Linked DNA regions of Caenorhabditis elegans. The protein of the gene in region 1 interacts with the protein of each later gene in a pairwise test. Each region holds a gene or a part of one and is shown in the gene's direction. Other genes may lie near its edges.

Region 1 (5,780 bases):
GACGTCACATATTTCTTGGCTAAAAATTTCCGCATTTTTTTGTAGATCAAACCGATATGGGACAGCCTGATACCAACACAATATACCTAAAGCTTGCAAAGCTATCTCCAATGCTACTGAAATGCTAGTTGTAGCAACAAATAATCGTGTGCCTTATTGAGATTATTTCCTTCAGATAATTTCCTTACATTTCCTTATATGAATTTCAATAAAACGTCACTTTATTTTTTTATTATTATTGCTACATTCCCTATGCTGCCTCTCATCGACCACCGAGAGCACAAGCACCTGACCCGGGTACCAGTCACCCTAACAGCTGATCTTTCCATATGACCAACAGTGCATGACCATCAATTTTTGAAATTTTACTTTAAAAAGGTTATTGGTGCCTGATACGCCTTTCATATAAAATCGCTCTCACCATCCCTTCCCTCCAACCGTCTCTCTCTCTCTCTCTCTCTCTCTCTTCAAAAATCGATTTGATTCATTCTCATTCGCATGTCAGCTGGTAGAGAAACACAGAGACTCTCTTACAAGCCCACACATCTCGTCGTCGGTCTCTCTGTCGTCTCTTCCACCACCCACACTATCCCGGTCAGTCATTCGTTGGTGAAAAGATGTGAAAGAGAGAAAGAGAGAGAGAGAGTACGCACACAGAACGCGTTTTATTTCATATTTTTCTTCCTTTCGCCTCTTTTCTTCGTTTTATTCACTCTCTTATTCGTATTTCTATTGTGTATTTATGCAAAGTAATCGTCGAATTTGAGGGTTTTAATCCTTTTGTTAGGTTTTGAAAATATTATTTAGAGAAAGCTAAAAAAAAGCGAATAGTAAAGTTGTTTTCTTTTGCCAGATTTTGTTGTTGTTCTCTGCTTGCGACTTGATTTATAAAGTGTCTGTGTGGACAATAGAACCTTAAAATTGATACTTCCCGAAAAAATTACCACTTTCTTCATGGATTTCATCACTATTTCGTTTAAGATAACCATAATTTAACTTTTCAGTGATTTTTGTGAATGTATTACATTTTTTTTTGAATGTTTCAAATTTCCATTTTTAGAAAGTCACTTATTCAAATAGTTTGCAATCACGTTTTACTGAATCTAGTATCTATACTAGGTATTCAAGTTCATGAAAATCGGACCTTATCCCTTACTTATCTTATTGATTTTCCTAGCCCATCTCTCATCTTTTGTTCTTGATTGCATTGATTTTAGGCGATTATTTTCAAATTTTAATATAAAATTTTCAAAATTTCCTAGTAAATCTTTAATTAAAAAATTTGAGCCTCAGTTGTTTTTTTTGCACAACTTTCCCGGTAATTTACCGAAAATGAACATTTCCGACAAAACTGCAAACCGGCAAAAAATTTTCACAAACATTTTTCTGCAAATTGTGGTTTTCCACATTTTTTTCTGGAAATTTTAGAAATTTAATTTAAATTGGCAAAATTGTACGCATCCTATGAATGTTCCTACATCTATTTTGAAAAGTAAGCAAGTTCAATGAATGTATCTAAAGAAAACGGGAAAAAAAAACTTTCAAAATGACACTGTTTCAAGTGCTTCCGTCTTATTAAAAAATCCCTCTAAAAATTTCCGGCAAACGGCAAATCGGCAATTTGCCGGAAAAAAATTGCCACGTGGTGTCAAAGTGGCTCATTGCGGTTTGATCTACGTAGATCTACAAACTATGCGGGAGTTGAGACGAAGAGTTCCCAACTGATTTCAAATGGTTAACAATGTGCTGACGTCACATTTTTTGGGCGAAAAATTCCCGCATTTTTTGTAGATCAAATCGTAATGGGACCATGTGAGACCCCGTGCCACTCCTGATTCAACAAACCTATTCTAAAAACTTTACTCTCTTCGTAATTCCTCACAATTTGACCTCCAGCGACTATTTCTCACGTGACAACAACAAAACACTCACAATTCGTTATCACCAACTCACCAATTACAGAGACGACGGGAAGACGGCGGCATCCGCAGACACCGAACCACCCACCACCTCCAACATCGTCGTCCTCGTCATCTCGACTGCCTTCGCTGATGAGTAATCGGAACGGTGGTGGAGGAGGAGGAGACTATCAGGACGTGATCGAGTCTCTTCGTCGTACACAGCTCATCTTTGAGGAGGACGATAATAATAGTAGCGATTCGGCTCCGCAAGCGAATCATCTATCCAGACATCAGACTAGCAATTCTTTAGTCGAAGATATGGTTAATCACTCAAATGGTGAGACTTTTTTGAAAACTTTGAGTCTTGTTTGAAAGCCTGCTCATCCCCGAAACTTAGAAACGGCCCAAAATTAAAGAAAGGACTTAATTGTCCAACGGAATCAAGAGAGTCGGCTTTTGAATTTCTATTGAGTATTATTAATTGAGACATGATTAAAAGATCACTGTTTCAGCATTTCACTTGGTGCCAGAATGTCCTATTTCGGTTTGATCTACGTAGATCTACAAAAAATGCACGAGTTGAGACGCATAGTTCTCATTTTATTTGGCTTAAGAAAGTTTTACGCAAAAAAAGTCCGCGTTTTTTGTAGATCAAACCGTGATGGCAGGGGTTTTTTCTGACACCACGTGATTTTTCCGACACACCACTACCTTCAGCCAGCCAAACCTTTAAGCCGGAGCCCAAATCCCCTGCTTTCTCCAACCATGCGTGCTCACCAGTCATTAGTCCCCCCCCCCACATCCAAAACGACACCAATTAAAGTCACTCAACATTTCCTCTTTACTCCCACCCCCGAGAGAAAACTCGCTATTCTATCTCTGTGTTATAATCGACATATGCATCGTAAAGCGGTGTTTCGGAGCCCCTCCCTAGTTTTTATATACCTGCTGAAAACTCTCTCGGAGAGCTCGCTCGCTTCATGATGATCGCATTTTCCCCCACATGCGTTCTTGCTGCTGCGTAGTGAATGCGCTTATTATTGAGTGTATTGAAAATTGGCTCAATGAGCGAAGTAAGTGTGAAACTATATCTTGGAGCCCAGAACTAGCACCATTAAATTTTACTTTCCAGGCAACCCTCCACCGGTCCCGCCAGGCATCACACAACAGCAATGTCAAATCGGATTGACACCTCGGATGTCGGCATCGCCACCGTCTGCAGTGTCAACAATCTCTGGAACCGCAGTGCTTGGCAAAACGATGGCCAGAGTTCAGAGTAATCCCCCGGGAAGTAGTGAGTTTTTCTTGATTTTCAGAACTGTAACGCTAAAATGTAAAATTTTCCAGTACCGCACAACACAACGACGACCGCGCAAGGAATCCAAAGCGTCGCACCACATATTCCAATCGGCGGCGGTGGAGCCACCGACGACAGCAGTGCAGAGATCTTGTCGGTGTTTGAGTGCCCGGTATGCCTGGAGTACATGCTGCCACCATACATGCAGTGCTCATCCGGACATCTTGTCTGCTCGAACTGCAGACCAAAGCTTCAGTGCTGCCCGACTTGTCGGGGTCCAACTCGTGAGTTTTGAAGTTGAAATTTGAAAATTGCGTGACTAGAAGAGTTTAGTCAAAGCTGAAAAAATTACCACAGCTTGAGCAGAGCTGATATGATAGAAGACTAAGATCCTTTCTGGTTGATCGATCTGTCTCAGTCGAGCGCCTAAGCATTTTAGCTGTGTTGTTTCTCTAATGTAGCTAACGAATCAAGGATCTACGGATCTTCAAAGTTTCAGAGTATATCTCAAATTTCAAGACTAAACCTTCAATCTTACAGCTTCTGTCCGCAACCTGGGCCTCGAGAAGATCGCCAACACCGTCCGCTTTCCATGCAAATTCTCTACGTCCGGCTGCCCCCTGAACTTCCATCACGCTGATAAGACCGAGCACGAGGAGCTCTGCGAATTCCGACCCTACTGCTGCCCGTGCCCTGGAGCTAGCTGCAAGTGGCAGGGAGGCTTGTCGGATGTGATGGAGCATTTGAAGAAGATCCACAAGAGCATCACGACGCTTCAAGGCGAGGATATCGTCTTCCTGGCCACTGACATCAATCTTCCTGGAGCAGTTGACTGGGTTATGATGCAGAGCTGCTTTGACTATAATTTTATGTTGGTGCTCGAGAAGCAGGAAAAGTACGATCCAGCTCAGCCAACTCAGATGTTCTACGCAGTCGTTCAGCTGATTGGCTCGAAGAAGGAAGCTGATAACTTTGTGTACCGGCTTGAGCTATCGGCGAGCCGCCGGAGAATGTCATGGGAAGCCACACCGAGAAGCATCCACGAGGGGGTGGTAGTGGCCATTCAACAGTCGGATTGCCTAGCGTTCGATTCAAATGCTGCACAGCTTTTTGCAGGTGAGCATTGACTTTTGCTTTTATCTTAATCGGAAATTACCAATTTTTGTTAAAACTGAGCTTTCAATTTTTGTTAAAACTGAGCAAAAACAGCTTTTTTTGTGAGTTGACAATTTTTTTGGTAACTTTGTTAGACAAGGGATACAGCTGGAATAGTTGAGTGCATCATGGTGCATCGACCGAAATAGTTTTAACAGCCGATACCCCGGTTAAGTGTGTGAATGCTAACAAAAATGTAACCGCTAAACTATATAAAACACGAGAACAAATATTTTGTGAGTTGGAACTTTTTCGATAGAACCAGAAATCCAAAAAAATTAAGTTTCCTTTGAACATGGTGCATCGACCAAAAATTTCTAAGATTGATAAACTCGGTCAATTTTTGAAGATATTAACAAAGTGTCTATTAAAAAATAAAAATAAAAACCGAAATCCGCAGAGGTTTTTTTGAAAAGTTTTTAAAGTTGGGCGAGATATGGTGCATCGACCTTTAGTAGCAAAATTTTTGTCAGTTCCGGAATATAAACTTTAAAAGTTACCCTCAACAAAAATCAACTTTTTTTTTCAGAAAACGGAAACCTTGGAATCAACGTCACTATTAGCCGAATAGATACTCCACAGAGGTGAGAATTGTATTTAAAAACTTTAAATTCAAGTTTAAATGTTTGAAAATATTTAAAAATTACAAAAAAAACACATTTTTTCAATAAGCCAATTTTAATCTATTTAATTAAAAAAAAAAAAAACTAATAACTGATTTTTTTTCAGGCGCCACCCAAATGAGTTGGAAAATTCTGATCTCGAGTACGACTAGATATGCACAGTGTAAACGTAATAAAATTATTTTTGATTTTTTTCTTCAAAAATGTGATGAAAAGCTTAAAAAATTCAGTTGAAAATCCCCTTACAATCAGAACATTTTAAAAAATTTAAAAATTAAAAAAATTTTTTTTTTGGATTTTTTTTCTGAAAAAAAAACTATATTTTGTTCTAATTTTTTTTTATAATGTAGAATACCCCCCCCCCCCCCCCGCCCCCGCCTCAAAATATTAATTATCTGTATAGCATATCCTTCCATGACTCGGAATGGATAACCACAGAACACTACGGATTTTTTTTCAATTTTTTTTGGTTTATAAATTTCTTTTTTTTTGTATTTTACACTCGATTTACACATTTTACGAGCTTTCCTGTGTTGTTTTATCGATATTTTGTACTTTTTTTTTGTCTCTTGAACCACTTGCGTAATAGCCACATTTTTCTTTCCAATTTTTACGATTTTATACTTTAATCATGTTGAATAAATTTTTTTGAACTTTTTTTGATGGTTAATTGAAATTTTGGAGAAAAAACATTTTTTTTTTCAAAATTAAAGAAATTTAATTCATTCTCAGTTTTTTTTATTTGGAAAATTTGCATCATAACAATTTTTCACAATTTGAGTATTTTCAAAATTTATAACAGAG
Region 2 (3,370 bases), on another chromosome or scaffold:
GTTTATGAATCAAGGGTGTTGGTTTTCCGATTTCTCACTTACATTTACAATAATTTTTTTAAAACAATTTTCACAAAAAAAGGGAATTGATCGTTTTTCCATTTTCAGAGTAATCGAAAAAGCTGGCAAATTTTCTTCATTTTAGAAGAAAACTTTTTTTCTCAACATAAATGAAATTTGATTTTTGAAAACTTGAATATTATTGTTAATTTAATTTTTTTTTGTTTTTCGCTTTTCTCTGAAAAAATGGAAAAAATTCGATGACACTTTTTTTGTAATGTGATGCACAACCGTACGGAAGGAAACTTTTTAGGCTTGCTTTAATAGTTCAAAAATTATAATTCTAACCTCTAATACAGTTTTATACCCGTCACGCATGAATCTACGACATCCATATTTTCCAAGCAATCGTTGAGTGATAGTTTCCCTTGTCTGTGAAACGAGTTCTGGATCTTCAACACAGAATGCTGGATAACTGATTATTCCAAGAAGTGCAGCATCAGTTTCCTAAATGTTTTATTTGTTCAGGAATTTCTGACAGATTTACCCTACTTTACTAAATGATTCTCTTGGAAGCATACTAGAGAGAACAGCGGAGCATTGTTCTATTTCATCGGGAAGTACGTGAACAACTGATCCTCTTGAACCATCAACAAAAAGATCACCGACATCGTTAAGTGCTTGCAATGCAGCTTTAACCATTCCGATCGATGATGCATTCAATTCTCGAATTCCTTGATTTGTTTTGTCTCCACGCTCCCATACACCATAATCCTGAATAATTGGAAATTTTAATTATTTTATTTTTAAAGGTTTTCGGGAAACATACTGGAGTTCGGTATCCGGTTTCAATATAATAAACCAGATTTTGTATAAATGCAACTTCATCGAAGTTTCGGACTACTTGTAGACCAGAAGCTGTAATTTGAGCGAGGGTGAGAAGATAAAGTGAGATTGCATCCATTTGAAGATGTCCCCAATCAGCATCACCACAAACTGTTCCCTTTGTTCCGACAGCAAACTTTGAGTGTAGAGCATCAAGAGGCCGCTGATATTTTTTGAACAGTTCGACTTTCTCGGCTTGTCGCATTAAACATTCCAATATCGACTGCATCATTTTCACACTGAAACACCCTCCAATGTAGTTTTTTGAGTTTTATAATCTGTTACCATGTGAATCCTAATTCCTTTGCTTTTGTGAGATCTTCGTCAAAATCGGCGCATTTCATATAAGCTCGATAAAGAGCCCATAATGCTTGTGCGATGTAAACATTATCTCGAACCCAAGCATGACCTGAAAATAACAATTTCATCGATTCAATTTGTTTTCTTCAATACCTGGAAAATCTTTCTGATTGGCAAATAATGCTGTTATGGGGTTTTGATGACTGCAAATGGTTTGCTCCACCATGAACAGAATGCGGTCGAGACGGACCCCGGAGCCGCTCCGGGATCGCATTTTCTCCGATTTTTTTCTGGAACGAAAATTTAAATAAAGTGTTACAAACCAATAAATTAAATTTCCACAACAGAAACAAGACTTCGTGAGAGTAAAAGAAAGAAAATGTGGGTGAACAAAAATGTGCGCGTGAGTATTGGCTCTGTCCGAGAGGAGTACACACAGCGCGGCCTGGTTTTCCATAGTTCTCAAATCTAGGCCATCTCAGTTTTTGAGAAAAAAGTTAAAAAAAAAACACTTTTTTTGTTTTAAAACAAATTTCTTGACTAAAAATATTGATTTACCGTCTTTTTTCATTTGAGTTTTATATTTAAGTTATCGATCCATTATCTAACAAAGTGTTGTTTTATCCTTGTTTTTTATTCATTAAACCAATATATCAATATGCTCTATTATTTAACAGAATGGCTGCTCGATTTGCCAGAGGGTTTGTGAATCGAAATCCACGGAACAATGAACTTATGGGAAGACAAGCGCCGAACACAGGTTATCAATTTGAAAAGGACCGTGCTGCTCGAAGTTACATTTATAAGTAAGTTTTCTGTTCTAAAATAAAAAATTTTATGTAATTTGTTTGCAGAGTAGAGCTTGTGGAAGGAAAATCCCATCGTGAAGGCCGCCTTGTACATTATCAAGATGGAGTTGTAATCAGTGCTTCAACAAAAGAACCTTCAATTGCCAGTCAGCTATACAGTAAAACTGATACATCTGCTGCATTGAATATTGGACGAGTTTTGGCCCTTCGTTGTCTTCAATCTGGAATTCACTTTGCTATGCCTGGAGCAACTAAAGAAGCTATCGAGAAGAGCCAACATGTTAGTGTTTCAAATAATCAATTTTATAATACGGATACTGAGGTCCTGATAAATTTAAAATTAACTTCTCTATTGGTTTTTGTCGAAAATAACTTTAAAAACTTGAAATGTTTCGAAAAACGAATAGTGACAGATTTTAGGTTGTTATTAAAAGCTAATTTGTCTACCTTATTACTCGAATTAATTTTCAAAAATCCGTAACTTTCTATGAAAAGATGTGTACCAGGAAGCAAAAATTATTTTTTGCTGTTTGCATTCAACAACAATTATTTTTCAGCAAACACACTTCTTCAAAGCTCTGGAAGAGGAAGGTCTCACACTAAAAGAACCGGCCCACGTGGAACATTCCTATGAGACAGACAAAACATTCACATGGAAGAGGTACCCACAGAAGCCAACACGTCAGGATAAACTCGACGAGCTATAATTATCCTGCACTTCTAAAAAACGTTTTTATTGTAGAAATAGTTTATGACCTTCAATTGTTTTGTTCTCTCCCTTGTTCTTGTTTCGTCTCTTTCAACTTTTATTAGAGTGAAAAAAAAAACTTTTCTCTGACTTTGAACAATTTAGAACTCTATTCACAATCACCCCCTTGAGCGTCGTAAGTACTAGAAGTTTTTTGCCTTTTTGTTTTAACTTCGAGATTTTTTAATCCCGCCTTCTCAAGCTTCGGACTGCAAACGGACATACATCAAACATTCTTCGATGCATCGTTTTGGTGAAATGACGAATGATGTGATGAAAGGAGGCCACCACCACCACCACCAATTCCCCGCACCCTCCTTGTAATATTCATGGGTGCTCGGCGAGCAGAGACGAAAATGGATGGACGAGATATCAGGGGATTCGATCTGACAACACCCCCGGTTTTCTCCCATTTGGGTTCTTTTGAGCACCTTTTTTTGAGTTTAGAAAATCTTTATTTTTAGAGTTTTTGAGCGTACTTTTTTAACTCCTTAGAGGCATTGAAACAAATGTAGTTCTGACTATCTGGTGTTGTATGTAGAGCTCCATGTTTTATGCATATGGATTTAAATTTCAGGACTTAAATTTTCGACGTCACCAAAATTGAAGTTGGTGACATTCCTGAAAA
Region 3 (7,754 bases), on another chromosome or scaffold:
AATTTCATCAAGTTTTCGAGTATAATTTGAGGAGATTACTCAGTACTAAAATAAAATAAAAAACATTCAAATTAATTAAAGAGCCACATATTTGTATCAGTTAAAAGTCCCTCCAATTATGAGGTATTCCATAATTTTCCCAATTTTAAAAAAGATATGCTGAAAGAATTTAAATTAAAAATGAGCTCAATCTTACTTTTTGCATTGTCAGGCGCAAAATGAAAGGCGGCCTACACTCATCGTGCGCCTACATTCGTGCGTACTGTTTTTGTTCTTTGTCTATAGAATCCTCATGTCCAACAACGTCACGTGGTCAGCACACATTTTGAAAAAAAGAAACAACACAAAAAAAGCTGAAAACTGAAGAAAACGAGAGAATAAAAGAACAGTGGAACCCAACAACAAACGAAAAAAAGATTGCAAAATTGCACGTAACCACTGAAAATAGCTAGAGAGACTGCGAGAATTAGAATACATTTTGCAACTTTCAGTTTTTTGGTGGGTTTTTTCAGGAGGATTAGTACACCTAACCTTGTTTTTACTCGCTTTTTCCGTAAATAATCGTTCTGTAAACACACGTGACAGAATTTTGAATCGGGAGGCGGGATTGGCAGACTGCATTTCGAAATGTTCTGAAAATAGATAACACTCGTGGAGAATTCTCGTGGTAGTAGTTCTTTCCAGTTTTTTTTTCTGTTATCGTCTAGAATTCTTGTTTCGTCGCTTTTTAAAAGTACTGCTAGAGCCTTTATTAACTGAAAATATTGCAGTATTTCCAATTGTTCAATAACCTAAAAAATAGCACAGAAAACTTGCTTGAGTCAAAGTTTTCGACAAATTGAGGCATTTTTCATTAAAAAAAGACAAGTTCTCATAAAGCCAATTTCGCTTACAACTAGCTCCTTAAAAATTAAAAAATTGTTCCTCTAATCCCTGCCTCTAGAAATTTGAAATTTTTATTGTCACCATCAGTTTCTTATTCCAACAGATATCAATTGATAAGTGTAGCGAAGATGGATTGCAAGATAAATGGTTCAATCGGTTCATAGTCACGCGGAGAGTTTTCTTTTTTTTGCTAAAAAGATTGATTATCCTCCATCGTATTCTACTTATAGATCATGACGATAACACATTTGGAGATGAGAACACGTTGTTTGTAGCTGTTGCGATATTTTTTCTTGCAATAGGCATACAGACATTTGGGCAGACCGAAATAAAATTATAAAGTAAAATTTAAGAATAAAGAGGTTGCTAGAAATGTTTGATCAGATAGAAATGCTAATCTGATTGTGCAACAACAAAAAATTTAAAAATATTGTATAGAAGAAATGTGGTGTCACTTTACCGTAATTATTTTACTAGTGGTGTTCAACTTTGACAACTAATATCTCAGCCGTCGTTTAAGTTATCCAAAAGTTGTCAACTGGCAAAACATTTGTTATTTATTTTTCTATTGTTTTACAGTTGATCATTTTTTGGTATATTCAAAATAAACCGAGTTAAAACCTTTCAAAGTAATGTAGCGGTATGCAATAAGGAGAGGTGTCCAACCGGGCCTTTGTGTTGCAAACATTGATCCCCTCACATAGAATGGAATTTTGTCGAGTGCCAAAGTACACACATAAGTGTATCTTTTTGTTTGGCGGGTAAAGATCAATTTTGTCTCTCAATCTCCTCCCTTCATTACAATTGTTTGTTTGCCTTAACCACGCGTGTTTACCTTGAGTTGAGTTACGTACGACAACGTGGGAAGTTGTGAGTTTTGATGTGAAAAATTCAATGAAACACTTGATTGAGGAGAAATGTGTGGTTACTAGGCTCTAGTTGATGAAGTAAATGTATATGGAAAACCTAGAAACTGGAGTTGGAAACAATTATGCTCTGTTTAGAATTGTTAGCTTTTTCCTGAAATTGTCTTTTTTTGTTGCTCTAACGCCTTTTCATCCAGATGCTTCACCCAATTTCTTGAAAACATTTTCCAGATAATAATGACTACTGTATTTCAAACAATGCCAACTTTTCTGGCAGGTCTCAATATTGCCAATTTTGGAGCAGCTACATCACAGTTTCCAAAACTGGAAAGTGGTGAGTTTTCCATTTTCAATGATTTCCCGCGTCGTTTAAAGCATTTCGCACCGTTGTTTGTGTCTTTTTCTTTATATTCTGTACCTTTTTTGCCAATATTGGCAACTTTTCCAATTGACACTTTAAAATAAATTGAGTTGACTGAAAAGTTGCTGCTGATTGCCAATTTGATTCCTTTTTGAGGCCATGTTGCAATGAAAAAAATATACTGCTAGTACCGTAATCTGACCAATCTAACTACAAACACATTCAAACTTTCCATTTTTCCCGCTTCAAACCCAAGTTATTTATCATCAAAACCAAAAAAACCATGTGCTCAAGCACACTTTTCCCTTTTCTTGTAACTGATAATAGTGAAAGCTTGATGACTTTTGAGTCAGTAATATTTTAAATTTTGTGCTCTGAATTAATGTAAGTAGATTCATTCAGAATTCAAGAATTTGACAACTTGCCAAAATTTTGGCAGACATGTTTTCAAAACTCCAGCAATTTTCGTAATGTTCTATCATGGCATTCTATCATTTTATATGATTTTTAATGTTTTCAGAAAACCTGGTGTTCATGAAAAAAGTGTGACTGGTCTTCTGTGGAAATATTCTATTTATGGTTTTTCTCAAGATCGCGGATAGAGATATTTGAAAATTACCAGATTCTTTTTTTACCGAACCATAGTCTAGTTAGTATTCCGATTGTAAGGAGAATTCTTGAGAATCGGGGACAAGACCGCATCAAGCCATAATCTCCATTTTCTGCCCAAACACCAATGCGAAGAACACGTTTTTTGGTTTCGTATGGTAATACATAGTGATCTCTGTCATATTTTGTGTTGTGTATTTAAAGTTGCTGGCTGGTGAGGAGGGAGGTGGGACACAAGGAAGAACCAAAGCTCACGAATAGTTGAGAGTGAAGATGGGCGGTTCTTTGGTTATTAGGATGATAAAGTGATGAGGCGATAAAATGTGAAACCGGGGGAAAATTAAAATTGATAAATTGTAAAATTCAATTCCAGCGAAACTACAAATTTCAATACCGTAAATACCTCGTTCAAATTTTTTTGGAGAACGGTGTAGCGACAAATAAAATTCTACAAGGATAGAGGTGGTTTGCAGATTTTTGAGCCTCGTTTGCGTTGATTTCTTGATATTCAAACCACTTGCAGTGAAATGTGATTCGGAACAAACTAGACTATTTCCATCAGTTTTGGTTCCTACAAAAATATTGGAAAGCGCTCCGAGACTTTACAAAAATTGTAATTTATACAAAATTGGTACAAACAAAACATATATAACTTCAGTTTCAACTTTGTTTTCAAATGCTATTTTCTATAAAAACCCTCTAAAACGGTTCCCAAAAATTGTGAAATTCGTAATTTACAAGCGGTCGAAAACCGCCAAAATCCATGTAAGGTTGTAAATATTCGTCCTCATAAAAAACGTTGACTGATCTTCAACCCCACGTGATATCAATGTGTTTATTTCCTTTAGTCGTCTGCGTATGTGTCACCAAGTGCCCTACAACTCCAAGTACACTGTCTTTTCTCTCAAAAATGAAATAGTGACGGGGAATAAGAGAAACGCAGAGAGTGAGATAGAAAGCGCGTGCTTTCTCTCTTCCTCTCTTACTTTCCATTCGCTCCTCCATTTTTTGCGTTTTCTACCCCATGGCGATGCAACTCTAGCAACACAATACACCAGAGATTGATGTCAATTCCCGTGTGCAATTTTACTTTTTTTTTGAATTTTTTGTTTAATGTGGGGGTTCGTGGAAATTTATTGTTTTTTTTCTAATATTTTTTTAAGGTTGAAAAAGCTTTTTGTTAAAAAATACTCTTTATCTCGTGTGAGTTTTGTAAAGAAAAAACACCTTTTTGCAACCTGCAATATATAATTAAAAAAATTTGGAAGTCCACTGTGTACTTTGAAATTATACATAGAGTTACAGCATTTCCCCGTTTTTTTCTGATTGAAACAAAAGTTCAAACTATAAAATAAACCAGATGCCAATAATTTTTTACCAGATCTTTTTGGTCGTGGGAACCTAGATAAACTTTGAAGAGTGATTGCTTCCTGCTTTAAAAATTGAACACGTTTTCGGCATTTCATAGTACAATTTGCGGACTACAAAGATACAAACTTGTGCCCTTTTACCTTAACACGGAAAATGTTGTTTTTCTGTCTTTCTTTTTGCTTCGAAGGTAGTTGGTATTCAAACATAACAAAAATTCAAACAATATATTTTTTGAAATTTTTAAAAAAGTTGCATCTGCCATAAACAATGAATTTCTGGAATGCAACTTGAAAACTGAAATTCGGTGTCATATATATTTGTTAACTTTTTGTTTCATTCCCTTTCCCCCGCTCAATTACTTTTCTCTTTCATAATCTCTGACCTCGTGATGTCATTTTTGCGGTATTTTACAGAAAAGACTGAGATGTCCTCGTTTTGACCAAGAAAACATGAAACACGGTTTTAACTTTGAGATTAGGTGTCTGGCAAAATAATTAAAACTTTGTTCAAATCCCAATGAGAGATAATTATTCCTGACTGCTTTGCAAAATAGGCATTTTCCAAGTAAAAGAGAATGTAGTTTTAAACGTATCCTTCACCTCACCAAAAATTTACTAAAAATTGAAAATTGGTGGTAAATTTTAGTTCTCAATTTAAGTGCATCCTATCTCACACAATTGGAATGGAAAATATTAAAATTAAAAAAAAAATATTAAAATTAGCCCTGCCTTCATAAAATAATATAACTCTGAATTTCAATTTATGTATAATGCCCAGGTTCCATTTTTCATATTATAAATGACTTTATTTATTTTTTACTATGATCCTCTAAAGCTTCCATTTGGAATAGTAGTGTCACCAAGCCTGCCTGCCTAAGTGCCTACCTACCGCCTACATCCAACATTGTAGGGTTAGCTTCGGTATTGTCGTTTGTACAATGTAGACCAACTTCACATGCAATAGGTCACCATTCAGAACTCAGGCCTTATAGGTAGGCAGGTAAGCGGTTTTGTGTCAACGTCTATAATATTCCAGTTTCCCTTCCAGTAAACTCAACTACAGTTTTGAACTTCCGTCTTAAGACTAGTTGAAAAAAAAACAAACCTGAATTACTGAAGCTTTATCAATTACAACAATCATATTCAAAGTGTCTTCTTATCTGTAAATCAAAAATAAAAATGTTTTCATTTGACTTTCCCTCAAATTGCTTCTCCCAATTCCATCTCCACCGATCACTCATGAGAGACCCCAAAGATCTTCCTCGTGGTGATGGTGGTGTCAACTAACCTTCCTGCTGCGAGAACCACACACACGTGACAACACACTTTTTTCTATTTTCTACTTCTTCTCAACAACATTTTCAAAACACATTATCACATTTTGTGTTAGTGGTGGTAGTTGCAAAAATTTTTCAGGTAGAGTGATCGGGGGAGTTTAACAGGATTTGATCAGAATCCTGACCTCCAATTAGGCATAAAATACTTTACTTCTCGCCTACACGGTAACCGTAAAATGTCTAAAACAACGTCCCATTTATTGGTATGAATATGATTACTAAAGTCAATTAAAATACACAAAACAGCGGTTGTAGGATGCCTTTGAGGCGAGTTAGGCGTGCTAAATAGGCATGAAACATTCACAGTTGAGTCTAAACTTCTTGGTCTGAAAATATCATGGTTCTCTACCAGATGAATTTTTCCCATACTTCCAGTAATTTTTCCAATTTAATTTTTTGCTTACCTCTCTCTCGGCCATCGCACGCCTATCGTCTTCCCGTACGTCCTTCGTCCAACGTGTTTGTGGCGTGCGTGTGTGTATGTGTATCAGAGATTGTCACGATGATATTTCTCTGTTTCTTGGAATCTCTCTCTCAATTCACTATCTATCATTCATTTCATTTTGTATCTTTTTCCGTCCTCCTCCTTTCATCAACGACGTCGTTTCATTTCACTCGCCTCGTGACCGCTGATAATTGAACATTTTCCCATCCTTGTTACCATAAAGTAATCCGTTGATTTTGGACATCCTGGTTAGAATATCAGATTTGAATTGTTTGATATAAATATACTTGTTTTATAAATTTAAGCATATATCCGAAACCTCGGATAACACTAGAAATTCTATTAGAAATTTTCAACTGTTAAGTTATATCGTCAATTTTGAAACAACTTTGTCTAAACTCTTTCTATAATTCCAAAATTTCCAGAAATAACGGCGCCTCGCCAGTCAATGTCTACGGCATTTCAAAAAATGCCCACATTCACATCAGTGATAAGTGTACCGAGTATAGCCGCAATTGCACCACAAATGCCAAGTGTGAAGCCGGAAAAGGGTGAGATTCTTTTGTTAAAAAATTGCAACATTTCAAAAAACCTCATATTTAAGTTTACCGAAAAATATCGAATCCAAATATTGTAATTTTTATTTTGCCAGTTTGCAGGTCTAGATGCTAGAAGATCTCACTAGAGAAGAGTTCGAAAATTTCTAGCAAATGCCAAGTTACAGTAATCAAAATTTTTTGATCCCCAACTCTATAACTTTTGCTTTCCGCTTTCACTATTTTTGCCAGTTTCAGCAAAAATGTTTATCAATAAAATCAGTGAAACCATGTGCTCAAGCACACAGTTGCTTCCAACAACTGATAGTAAAAGTTTACTGTTTTTGAGCATAGATCACCCAAAAAAGTGAAATGTATGAATAATGAGTTCTTATTTGAAACCGAAATATTTAAAATTCAATCTAAATATCCAAAAACATTTCAGGTGTAATTGGCCAATGTTTAATATGTGGAGAACCTTCAACTGGAAAACATTATGGAATCGTGGCGTGCCTTGGATGCAAAACGTTTTTTCGAAGGTACAAGATCCCTAGGTTCAAAAAAACTCATCAATAACCTCAACATATTCCAGAGCAGTTGTCCAGCGTCAGGATACAGAGTGCAAACGGGAAAAGCCATGTGACGTCACTACAATGGCAAGAAAAGCTTGCAGAGCTTGTCGATATAGGAAGTGCTTAGAAAGTGGAATGAGCAAGGAAGGTAAGAATTTTCGATTTTTTTTGTTTGAAGGAAAAAAGTAGATCTGAAATTTTTTGGTTTACTTTTACTATTTTAGAGATCTGTAAAATTACTCCAAAAGTGTTTTAACAAGACCGTTGACGATTTTTCATATTAACATCCTAATTCCAGCCCTTCAACCCCGTCGAGATCTCATCGGATGCCGTCGTATCCGTTCCCGCCCAAGCTGCTCAACATCCACACCAACACCTCCAAGACCACAAGTCGAGGATAAGTCACAGTATTTGACACTTTTGGAAAATCTCACGACTATTGATGATAGGTTACGGTAGGTTTTTGTAATTTTTTTTTTACTCAAGTTACATTAAAAAAATATTATAGAAAAAAGAAACTGGAAGTGGTCGCCTCTAGACAAGCAGCAGTTGATCTCGCAGTGCTGGCAAAGCAGGGATGCATGAGTGTGAGGATTTTCTAAAAAGCTTTTTCAAGCACTCTGTATATTGTATGTTGTATGAACTTTAATATTTCCAGATTACCGACACATCAGGACCATCAACATCTCGATACGTCCCAGGAGGAACATCCCCAAACGGAGGAGATCATAAAATGATGGTGATGCTTGGAACCGATATCTCTGTATCCACAC

What was found. Proteins that work in one complex are often made in the same cells at the same time.
Region 2: the proteins of siah-1 (region 1) and mrpl-18 interact in a two-hybrid assay, tested with the Caenorhabditis elegans proteins (one large-scale study listed by BioGRID).
Region 3: the proteins of siah-1 (region 1) and nhr-19 interact in a two-hybrid assay, tested with the Caenorhabditis elegans proteins (one large-scale study listed by BioGRID).

Annotation. Positions count from the first base shown.
Region 1 is NC_003282.8:3,742,086-3,747,865, forward strand, and holds siah-1 (E3 ubiquitin-protein ligase siah-1), read left to right. Parts: upstream 1-1,962; 5' UTR 1,963-2,051; coding exon 2,052-2,238; intron 2,239-3,033; coding exon 3,034-3,195; intron 3,196-3,248; coding exon 3,249-3,482; intron 3,483-3,738; coding exon 3,739-4,314; intron 4,315-4,882; coding exon 4,883-4,937; intron 4,938-5,082; coding exon 5,083-5,128; 3' UTR 5,129-5,266; downstream 5,267-5,780.
Region 2 is NC_003281.10:8,143,155-8,146,524, forward strand, and holds mrpl-18 (Large ribosomal subunit protein uL18m), read left to right. Parts: upstream 1-1,860; 5' UTR 1,861-1,863; coding exon 1,864-1,991; intron 1,992-2,039; coding exon 2,040-2,274; intron 2,275-2,551; coding exon 2,552-2,701; 3' UTR 2,702-2,820; downstream 2,821-3,370. Other genes in the region: phka-1 (Phosphorylase b kinase regulatory subunit), read right to left, coding at 349-507, 553-774, 830-1,124, 1,171-1,294, 1,339-1,459.
Region 3 is NC_003280.10:9,599,477-9,607,230, reverse strand, and holds the start of nhr-19 (Nuclear hormone receptor family member nhr-19), read left to right. Parts: upstream 1-1,704; 5' UTR 1,705-1,755; intron 1,756-1,982; 5' UTR 1,983-1,988; coding exon 1,989-2,085; intron 2,086-6,298; coding exon 6,299-6,424; intron 6,425-6,854; coding exon 6,855-6,948; intron 6,949-7,001; coding exon 7,002-7,129; intron 7,130-7,279; coding exon 7,280-7,436; intron 7,437-7,489; coding exon 7,490-7,568; intron 7,569-7,639; coding exon 7,640-7,754. UniProt on the Caenorhabditis elegans protein: Orphan nuclear receptor.